3 linked regions of the Drosophila melanogaster genome follow. The protein of the gene in region 3 interacts with the protein of the main gene of each other region in a pairwise test. Each region holds a gene or a part of one and is shown on either strand. Other genes may lie near its edges.

Region 1 (3,754 bases), on a different chromosome or scaffold from region 3:
GCCCAAAACTGTGAAATAAGCCGAGCTGGTGGAAGCGGATGGGAGTTCAGTTGCCTTGCTTTCGGCAGTTGGTTCGGTCTGATAACCAATCCAAGTTTTGTACTCGGCGAGACCCCTGTAGAAGCGTTCCATCAATTCCTTGGTCTTAACAGGATACAGCAATAGTTTCCCATTTGATTTTACACTGCCTGATGGCTCGACTGCGTCCAACATGAAATTCGCAGTCCAGGGCAGTCCAATTGGCGGCTGGAACAGCTCTTCGTCTGCCAACATCGAACAGAACATTGCCTCGGTAAAGGTAGCTTTGAGCAATTTGCTTTCCCACTTTTGGCCATTTCCGCTCACCAATTTCGAGCACAAAAAGCGCTTATCCTTGAGTGGGGAAGTAATGACAGTTGACACCTTCTTGGTGGGCTGATCTCCTTGCGTCTTCGTTTGTGCCTTGGCTACCCCAGAGCTGGACCCCGCTTTTCCGCTCCTAGAAGACGAAGCCACCGCCGATTGAAGGGCTATCCCGATAGGCTCTCCAGTACGCCTAGCCGTCTGCCTGCGCACCATTGTTGTCGGCTGGTCAACCAAAACGGGCATGGCAGCACGCATACCCATAGCTAACGCTGTATTAGTACCAGGAGAGATTGCCTCAATGCGGGTCAGCCGATGTAGTGAGGATGATGAGGCGCCCAGACGCTGACGACGATCGGCCATGCTAGTCACAACCTGATCTTCGATGACGCGCACAAAAGACTCAATCGCCTCCATGTCCGGCACTCTGGAACTTCTGTGCTGCATAAGCACAGTTTCAGTCTGCTGCAGTATCTCATAGCAGCGTTCAGGAAAGTCGGCGGCAGTTGAATCCATATTGTCCAGCTGCACAACCATTAGGGCCAGGCTTAATGCGGAATCAAATACCTGCTCGGTCCGCTGTTCGCTTCGCGTGTTGCCACCGGCTACCGGTCGAACGCTTGCTAAATTGCGAGAACGAGTCGAGCGCGTTTGGCTAGAAGGTTGCGGTACTGGCACCTGTTGCTCCATTCCGTTGTCCGCTATATAGAGAGTATTGACCAACGACAAGTAGGCATCGTGGTCACGGTGGTCGCGATGCTCCTGCAGCAGGTGCATGAACAAATGGGCGGTAGAAAGGCCGCGAACATCGCACAGGGCACATTTGTAGCTCTGGGCCACTTTGTGATCACCGCAGAATGGCTCGCCGCCGAAGTACAGCTGGTACTCGGCATAGGCATAGTACACACTCATCGGATGGTAGTAGCGATGCTGAGGCGATGCCGGCAGATGGTTGGCATCGAAGCACTTGCCGCACAAAGTGTATTCCGCGCAGAACCTGCAGGTGTAGCGGCGGCCCTGGAAATCGGATATCTTGCAGTTCTCGCAGCGGTGGCCAAAGTGGCGCTCCGGCGGATTGCGCATCTGGTGGGCCATGGGTGCTTGAAGTGATTCTGGCAATGGAATTCGTGCACGGATGATATTATATACGAATTGTGCGCAGAGAATCGTCGTTGGTGAAGACTCAAAAGTTTGCTGAATTTTGTTTATGATATTAGAGAACCCTATTTAAAATTGAAATGTGAGCGGCCTCGCCAGTGTTTTTTATTCGTTTCAACAACTTACTCTTTTCACAACTTTTCACTTTCAACTGATGAACACCTTTACTCGACAAGAAAAATTATTTGACTAAACTTCTATTGAATATCGAACAAAAAAGTGAGACTGAAAGCTAAACTCCAAAAGGCGCTGCCAACTCGATTCTATCAACAATTGTGAAAATCCCGAAAAAATAGGAGCACGTGCACGACGAGAAGTTTCTATGACGGAGTATATTTCTGTGGCCTTATAAATTACTTACAATTACAATGTACAATTAAGTAGCTATAGAAACAACATGTTTTTGCATAATTTGTAATCTTATGATATCAACGCATAACCCGCCATAATAGATAGCATATACTTCATATACAATAGCTTCGATGAGTTATTTCGTTTACAGTTTCGTTTCTTAAACCCTTTTATTTGTGTTATATTCATATTCGAGTTAAAATGTTCGCATTTGTATTTTTTACGAGTTTGCACATATAATCATTAATTTGCTTGAGATTTAAGATTTTTCCACTTCTTTTTTTGTCGCAAAATTGGAACAACTTAAATAGAACATTCGCCTTTTTTGTTTATACATTGCAATTGGTAGACGGCCATATTTTGATTATGAATTTCCGTTCCACTCTACGCAGGCATTCCCGCACTTTAGGTGAAACTAAAAGCTTTCGTTAAAATAATAAGCATCATTATAATAATGAAAGGCAGCGTAAAATGCATCCACTAACATACATGTGTACCACACGTTGGCCTCAATTACATTTTTGCAAATTACGCGAAATAGAAAGCGAATAGGTGGTACACCTGTGAGTATTTCATTTTTTTATGTATTTCACAGAAGGGTCTTCAAAATTAATCAAATGAAAAGAGCCGTTGACATTTGACGGTTTTAATTAAAAATCTAGAGCCATTTCAATAGAAATTATGGCTCGCGTTAAAGGTCTGGTTAAATAGAATTTCTAACCACTATGTGATATAAATATATGACCCCTAGACAAAATATTTTGTTGACTAAAAACTGTAGGATAAATAAAAGTTAATCTCACTTGGACTGAAATGCGTAGCTCTTGATGTTTTAAGTGTAATGGCGAAACGAAATTACACTTTAATAATTATGGCACACAGCCGGAAAATGCGGAGCAATGAAAATGGAAAATATGCTCAAAACTAAGAGGACGAAATTTTCACAGGCCCTTAAGAACTTTGTGTCGTCGCCTTTTCTTAATATCCCTAAAAGCATTTTAATTTGCATTTAATTAAATTGTTCGCATGAGTCAGCAGTATGGCTTGAAGAGCGTACGCCAAAGAGTTTTCACCCATTTTCCAATTTAGTCAAAGTAAGTATATTTTCGTTTCCATTGAGGCGGATATGAAAGGTTGTAAATAAACTAAATTATACTTACTATTCAAATGCAAATTAATGGCCACCATTGTAAAAGGCACACGGATGCACAAGTCGACGAATAGAATATTTTATAAAGCACTAATTTTTCGTGTTTCTCTAAAAAAGCTGTTGTCGCGCAGCTATTCGTTGGCCAACTGAAAGTAGTGACTAAAAGTGTGAGGAAGCCGGCAACGGGCCACAAGCGACATAAAAATGTTGGCTACACTCGCACACACACACACACACAATTTGTGCCTGGCCTGCAGGATATGTAGTTTTTTTTTTTATTTGAATCGTGTAGCATAGTTTTCGGTCTGTGCTGCAAAGCCGAAAAACAAACGGCGGCTGTCGCTACCAACGATGCACACATATTGTTGTTGCAACTTTCCGGCGACAGACGACTGCCAAGTGGAGCCCTTGCTCCTCCGACGGCTCCACCGTTCATTCCTCCGTTGGCCCCGCCCGCCGATGGAGCAGTCAATTGGAGGGGACCCTAATTGCTTTCGGTTGCCAGCTGAGCACGACGATATCGCCAGGAGGACGGACCGACCAGCTGATGAGTCAGCCAAAGTAGAACTAAGATGGTAGCATGCGGTTTTCGCAGAAATTTTATTTGAGTTTGAGTTTTGCTATTTCTTTTGTATGTATATGTATATGTACCGCCCAAACATTATGTTTTCATGAGAAAGATGGCAAATATTGAAAATAACGAACTACCGAAGCAATTCATTAAGCGCCGTCAAAAAGAATGTTGCAAAAATG
Region 2 (3,754 bases), on a different chromosome or scaffold from region 3:
CCTTCTCCAGCTGCAAGGAGTCGGCCAACGAGGTTATCTCCTGGGCGGATGGCTTCGGCTGCTTGTGGAAGTGCTGCTCCAGTGCCCCCTTCACGCTCACCTCGATGCTGGTGCGTTTCTTGCGCTTACGCCCCTGAGCGGCGATCTTGTCAATGGACGTGGGTGAACCCGTTGTGGAGTCCGCCTCCTCCAGCCACTTCTGCAGCAGCGGCTTCAGCTTGCACATGTTCTTGAAGCTCAGCTGCAGTGCCTCGAATCTGCAGATGGTCGTCTGGGAGAACACATTGCCATAGAGAGTGCCCAGTGCCAGGCCCACATCGGCCTGGGTAAAGCCCAGCTTGATTCGGCGCTGCTTGAACTGCTTGGCAAAGGCCTCCAGATCATCGGACGTGGGAGTGTCCTCCTCGCCGCCGCTTATGGCATCCCGATCGCCGCCGCCCATGTGATGGTGTATGTGCAGCTGTGGCGATTCCCCGCGCAGCGTATGATGCAGTGGCGCCACACTCTGATGATGGGCCGCTGCAACCGCATGGGCCGGATGATGGAGCATTCCGTTCATGGCATGATGGTACTGCAACGGTGACCCGCCCGTTGGCGCATAGTGTCCCGCATGGGGGGCATGCCAGGCGGCATGGGGCGAGGCCATGCCCTGTTGGATGCGCGTCTGCTGCGAGAGATGCGACATCTCCTGCTTGACGGTATCAGCGGCCGAGGCAACGGCAGCGGCGGCGGGCAGATGGTGCGTATGATGGGTTTGCATCCACGGATCCGGATGGAGGGCACTCCATGAGCCCAACCCGGAACCGGAACCCAATCCAAGTCCGCCACCATTGCCCTGGCCATTGGGCGATGGCGACGAGGGCAACTGATGGTGGGCAGCTGCCGCGGCAGCGGCATGATGATGATGATGGTGCTGCATGTACTTCATTTCACCGGCATCAGCCGCCGAGCGCGGCGACGAGGTGTGATAGCCACCGCCTCCGAGGGCCATGTCCAGATCACCGCTCGGCGGCGTCATGTACGAGGTCGCGGCCATCCCCACCGCTCTGGGGCTGTTCAGGCCCTCCACGCTGGCGGGGTAGGGCTCCAAGTTGGGGCTCAGTTTAACGACTTTGTACACCGATCGATCGAAAGGAAGACCAGGGTCCCTATGCTCATTCCACTCGAACCGTGAGGCAACCGTCTTGACGTCTTTTACGGGCAACGTGGCAGGCGCAAAAATATTCTATTTCGCTTATTTTGTTTTTTTTTGGGTTCGACGTTTGCTTTTTTGGGGGCGTGGCCCTCGAACGCGTTCAACAAGTTTATTTCAGCTTTGGGTTAAGTAAAAAATCCGACGGCAATTTGCTTGGGGTTTCACGTTTATTTAGCTTGACTAGCGTTGAGCTAACTGCGTTTTATTTGGTTATTTATTTAGATTTTTTTATTTTCGAATTTCATTTAGCACTTCTAACACTTGGCACTTTTTGTGGCGATTTTTCGCAACGATTTAAATCATCGATAGAACTCAGTGGTCAGAACGCAGAACTCTGATATTCAGATACAGATTGAGATTTCTCGAATGTGTGTTTCTACTGGGTTGCTTGACCGATTCGATGCCGATTGAGATTTGAGATTGTGTGTTGTGAGATTTGAGCAGTCAAGACAGCCGAGAGCCCAGGGAAAATTCACGTGCAGACTCGTAGAGCTATCGAAGTGAACTAACGTCATGTCTCGCACCGCAGCTCTACGTTGAGCGCTCTCGACGCTCGGCGGTACGTCACACCGATACGTTTACGCACACCAACGAGCGCAGTACGCACACACACCCCGGCGAGCGAAACCAGTTTGTCCGCTGGCCTTCCAGCGTTCCATGTGTGCGAGCAGCACCGCCATTGGTGCGGCAAGCGAGATAGACGCTCTACCGAGCAACTGGAAGGGAGACTTGCGCTCTATTGGGCTCGCTGTATTCCAGCGTTACGCCCCCAAAACCAACAAAAACAAAAAAAATATATGAGATGAAAAAATAATACCAGAGCCGGCTCTACGAAGTTCCCTCAGTGCATTCCCATGCAGAGTGACATTTTTAATTGCCCAGTGCCCAGTGCGAGCGAGAGAGGGCGAGAGATGATATGAACGGCGACGGCGCATCTCTCGATTTCTTCGAGTCCAGCTATCGGGAACACAGGGATTACACGTAGTGCCATCTCCCAGTTGGAGCTTTTGCGTCCAGGACTTCTCTCTCCCGTTCGGGGAGCTTTGTTTCAGTTCCTTGCAGCTCCTTGGCCAGACAACTTTTCCCTTGGCTTTGTGAGTGTGTGTGTTTGTTTGGGAGGGGGGACATCTGGAGTGGTTGCCATTGCGATTTGAAGAACATATTACTAACGTGGCGTAGAAAAGGAATTAAACAAATAAACAGTTTAAATATTTAACTATTTATCGTTCATCCAAAAAAGTGTGCATAGTAAAAATATTTAAGAGCAAATAATATTTGATTATCAATATGAAAAATAAATAAATCTTGAACTTGAATTTGGACAATTCAAATTTCGCTGAATTCTGTTGAAAATATTTTTTATATAGACCGTGTCCCATTAAATATTTAACCAATGTGTTATATAAGAAAATCTTATTTGTATTTTTTCAGTTTATAATATGTGTGAGTGAAGCTTAATTAAATTAAAGAAAGTAAATTAGTGTTTAGTATGAAATGATATTTAAAATTTTCGTTTAAAAAAATAACCATTTTACCGATGAATATTTTATAATTTTCTTTTTCATATGCATATAAGTTTCGTTTGGCTGCCTACATAAAATATACCTTTCTTTTCCACCTTGATATCTTTCTTTTGCTCATTGTGTTTGTGACTGTGTTTTGACTGCTTTACAGTTAAATTATGTTTCACTGACAAAAGATATTGATTCACTTCATCCGTCAGTTTCATTGATTCTATGATCAGTTTTGCGAAATTAATGCGAAACTAGCGATACATTTGCATAGCTAAAGGAATTGCCATCGTTAAAGTTATCATTGGAATACTGACTTTTGTTTCTGGCTGTGCAGTTTTAAAGTTTTTTGATTTAGCGGAGCGTTATGGGACAATGCGAAGAATCAAATGAAAAATATCCGTAAAAGTTTATGTTTCCTAAAACAATGAATGAATGAAACTCTGCACACAATCAATGGAAATCTATTTCGCCTTCAAAGCCAATTGCCGTCAAATGTATATATGCAGACATAAAATAGCTTATTTAACCAAATTTACCTTTCTAAAAAAAAAATTACTTATTATTTTCCCACTATTTCCCTTAAATATGTCAACATATATTCAGAATTTTCCCACTTAAAAAATATATTTAATTAATGCATAAAATGTTCAAAGCTACCCTCTCATATATTTTCTCATTTAATAAATCCTGGCACACATAACTAGCCCAAGAATCCCATAAACACCCACCACAAAATACTTAGCATAGTTTTAGACCCCTTTGAGGCAGGTCAAGAGCTCAATCAAAAAATTATGCAAACTAAGGTCATCCAGCCGAGCAGACGCAAGCCAGACAAGTTCGAGCGTATTTGCATGAAATTTGTTTACGTTTTTTTTTCCATGACCATATCCTTTGGCCACGCACTTGGGCATAATTAATAAGCCAAGCGTTTCCAACCCAAAAACCCCAGTGACAAAATAAAGTCACAGTCATTGTTGGTCCTTAGACAAAAATTTACATGATAATTAGGTGGCGGCGCTAAATAACAACAGCGAGTGAGTAAAAA
Region 3 (3,754 bases):
GGGCATTGAGTGATCCACTGCAGATTGACGGTACGGAGTTGGATTGTTGGATGATTTGTTGAAGTTAGCATGCGTACAAGATTTAAATAAAAGCTTCGTTAGGGAAGAGCGTTAATAATCAATGCACACATGGATAACAGAAAGCGGCTCATTGGTAGGGCGAACACACAAGCGGCTCACCTGTGGCTGTGACGGCGCCTCCGCCGCCTCCTGCTCCACCGACGCCTCCAGGCGCTATCTGATGCGTGTGCGTCTTGAGGTGGTTGGTAAGGGTGCTCTGCTGGCGGAACTGCATGTGGCAGTAGGAACACGTGTACGGCTTGTCGCCCGTGTGGATCTTCTTGTGGTTGGCCAGCGTCGCCAGCTGGCTAAAGGACTTGTCACACGTTTCGCACTTGTACGGCTTAGGATCGATGTGGGTCCGCTCGTGGTTGTGCAGCGTGCTCAGCTGCGGGAAGCGGCGCTTGCAAACGCTACACTGGAACGGCTTCACCAGCTCCTCGGCCGCCGGCGAGCTGTAGCTGCCGGAATACAAGGTCTTTGAGATTTGGACGCGCTGATGCTGCTGCTGGTAGGCCTGGTGCATCTGGGACTTTCGGTGTTTGCCACTGCCCGTCTGCGGCTGATAGTTCAACAGGGAAGTTGGCGTGCTGGACTCCGCCGCTGTTGCCCGTAAGCGAAGCGAGAAATAGAGTTAGGTCATAAGGTCTATTGGGACGATGCGACCACACACTCACCCTTGTGCGTCTTGATGTGATTGATCAAGGTGCTCTGCTGGCGAAAGTCCTTGGCGCAGATGTTGCAGGTGAACGGCTTTTCTCCGGTGTGGATTTTCACGTGGTTGGTTAGCGTCGAGATCTGGCGGAAGGCCTTGTCGCAGTGTTTGCACTTGTAGGGCCGCTCGTCCGTGTGGATCTTCATGTGGTTGCGTAACGTGGTCAGCTGCCGGAACTTGTTCTTGCACACGTGGCACTGTTTCTTCTTGCGCGGATCGTCCACCACCACCTCCTCCTCGCTAATCACGCTCTGCACCTCCTGTTTCATAGGAGAAATGGGCGTGTGGCTGCCCCCGCCTCCTCCGCCACTGTTCGCTGTTGTAGTGGATATGTCCAGCAAATGGACCAGCGGGTGCTGTGGATGGAGCATGGCTTGGTGGGTAGGGTGCTGGATGGCCTGCACGGCGGTGAGTTGATGCAGCGCAAAGGGACTCTGTTGCAGGCTGGCCAGTGTGGTGGGCTGCTGCTGTCCCGAGTTGGGACCCGGTCCAGATCCACCATTACTCCCTCCTCCACCGCCACCGCCACCTCCTCCTCCGCCGCCACCGCCATGGGAGGCTGGCAGTTGGTAGTGCTGATAGTTGGCCATGGCTGCCGTGGCGGCTGTCGCATGGTTCAGATGCATGATATTCGAGAGATATGATCCTAGCGTGGATCTACAGTCTGCCCATCGGCGGCGTTACACAATGGCGGCCACCGACGACCCTCGGCCATTCCCCGCCCCCGCAGTTGCTTCCACTGCGCCGCTCCTTTTGGGGCCTTTTTTGATTTGTTATTTCAGTCGTCTGGTTTGCACTTCTGTGTACTTTTGCTGCGCTGCTGCTGCTTCTTCTTCTTCTCTTCTTCAACACGCTGCTTACGCTTCCACGTAGCGATTGGGAGGGCCTGAATCCGCGGCCACTTTGTCGCGCACTTCCCCACGATCAGTTTCCACCGTTTTCGCTCGCTTTTGGGGCGCTTTCTCCGCCGTTTCTGCAGTTTTTCCAGGCCACGCTCTTTTTGTATCCGTATCCTTATCAAAACAAAAATGACTGGCGTGGTTTTCCAGGGCTGAGCGAACGGGCAGAGCTGCACCCCCGCCGAACATCGAGTAATCGACTATCGGCCGGCCAGGGCTGGTGGCGCTAGAGAGCCTAACACTGGGTGGGTCGATAACAGCTATCGATTATTTGGACACTCCGTGCTGACAATTCAGCTGATTTTAACCTTTCAATTAGTTTATATTCAGATATCAACAAAGTGTAATTGTTATTTTATCTATACTCGATTTTGTAACTTTGCGCCCTTCTTAGCTTTAGTTATTCTATTATTCGGTTCCTTTTTGTTTAATGAGTCATAATATGTTCTAACCGTTACAAACACATATTTATTTGCGACCCTTAATAAATCGCTGTTAAATAAAAATCTTTCATTGATAGGCTACTTAAAGTAATTATAATATTTTGGTTTGCTCGCACAAATTTGATTTTAAAATCTAAATCAATAAGCAATGAAATTAAAATTCTAGCTTTTTAATAGCTGTTAGAGATAACTTATTCGTTAGCCTAAACCTATCGATAGTTGTCAGAACTTGTTTTGCTTTTTACGTTAAAACAAAACGCAACATAAACAATTGGGAGAATTCATCACACTATCCTCAGATTTACATACTTTCACCGGAAGGTGAATCTGTTTACCATGGGCGACATCGAAGTAAAGAAGGAGGAACAACCGACGACGCCCTCCAATTCCTCGTCCAGTGACGACGACGAGGAGGCCCCAGGCTAGTCTAAATAGTTAGGTCTTTACTGTCACTCATTAATTGAATTGAATTCTAGACGACACAATGGATAAGGTTCGACGCTTCTTTGCAAACACTCTACATCTCGGCGGCTCCTCGGACGCAAAGGAGGAAGTTAAAGTAGAGAAGGTGAGCGGAGCACCCGATAATTTGATTATCATATTGATTAAATCGCAAATTTGCAGGTTATTCCAGATTTGAGTTTTGACGGCTTTGCCGAACATTGGCGTGTGCATGGTTTCCGCAAGATTGTGACCATGGTGGGAGCCGGCATATCTACATGTTGGTACATTCTATATACCATTGTAAAAACTTACTAAGTTATCGCCATTCCTAGCTGCTGGCATTCCGGATTTCAGATCCCCAGGTTCCGGGTTATACAGCAATCTGAAGAAGTACGAGCTGCCACATCCTACGGCCATATTCGATCTGGACTACTTCGAAAAGAATCCAGCGCCGTTTTTTGCACTGGCCAAGGAACTTTACCCTGGATCCTTCATTCCCACGCCGGCCCACTACTTTATCCGTTTGCTTAACGACAAGGGACTACTGCAGCGCCACTACACCCAGAACATAGACACGCTAGACCGGCTTACTGGCCTGCCCGAGGACAAGATCATTGAGGCCCATGGCAGCTTCCACACCAACCACTGCATTAAGTGCCGCAAGGAGTACGACATGGACTGGATGAAGGCGGAGATCTTCGCCGATCGTCTGCCCAAATGCCAAAAGTGCCAAGGCGTTGTTAAACCAGACATTGTTTTCTTTGGCGAAAACTTGCCAAAGAGATTTTACTCCAGTCCTGAAGAGGATTTCCAGGATTGCGATCTGCTGATCATCATGGGCACATCGTTGGAAGTGCAACCGTTTGCTTCACTGGTGTGGAGACCAGGACCACGTTGCATTCGCCTCTTGATCAATCGCGATGCAGTGGGTCAGGCCAGCTGTGTGCTCTTTATGGATCCCAACACGCGATCGCTACTCTTCGATAAGCCCAATAACACTAGGGATGTGGCCTTTCTGGGCGACTGTGATGCTGGCGTAATGGCTCTGGCCAAAGCCTTGGGCTGGGACCAAGAGCTGCAGCAGCTAATTACAAGTGAAAGGAAGAAACTGAGCGGCAGCCAGAATAGTGAGGAGCTGCAACAAGGCAAAGAGAAACCGCAATCGGACCCGGATAAGATGACTTCGGGCGATA

What was found.
Region 1: the proteins of CG4360 (region 3) and CG31642 interact in a two-hybrid assay, tested with the Drosophila melanogaster proteins (one large-scale study listed by BioGRID).
Region 2: the proteins of CG4360 (region 3) and vvl interact in a two-hybrid assay, tested with the Drosophila melanogaster proteins (one large-scale study listed by BioGRID).

What each region holds. Positions count from the first base shown.
Region 1 is NT_033779.5:6,116,441-6,120,194, reverse strand, and holds the start of CG31642 (uncharacterized protein), read right to left. Parts: upstream 1,684-3,754; 5' UTR 1,627-1,683; intron 1,566-1,626; 5' UTR 1,438-1,565; coding exon 1-1,437.
Region 2 is NT_037436.4:6,788,108-6,791,861, reverse strand, and holds the start of vvl (ventral veins lacking), read right to left. Parts: upstream 1,705-3,754; 5' UTR 1,037-1,704; coding exon 1-1,036. UniProt on the Drosophila melanogaster protein: Binds to a DNA sequence element required for the expression of the dopa decarboxylase gene (Ddc) in specific dopaminergic neurons. Could also play an early role in specific ectodermal cells, and a subsequent role in the embryonic nervous system.
Region 3 is NT_033777.3:20,326,136-20,329,889, forward strand, and holds the start of CG4360 (uncharacterized protein), read right to left. Parts: upstream 1,869-3,754; 5' UTR 1,402-1,868; coding exon 738-1,401; intron 664-737; coding exon 181-663; intron 126-180; exon of another isoform or gene 94-125; coding exon of another isoform or gene 83-93; exon of another isoform or gene 18-82; coding exon 1-17. Other genes in the region: Sirt2 (sirtuin 2), read left to right, coding at 2,454-2,538, 2,594-2,685, 2,742-2,838, 2,894-3,754.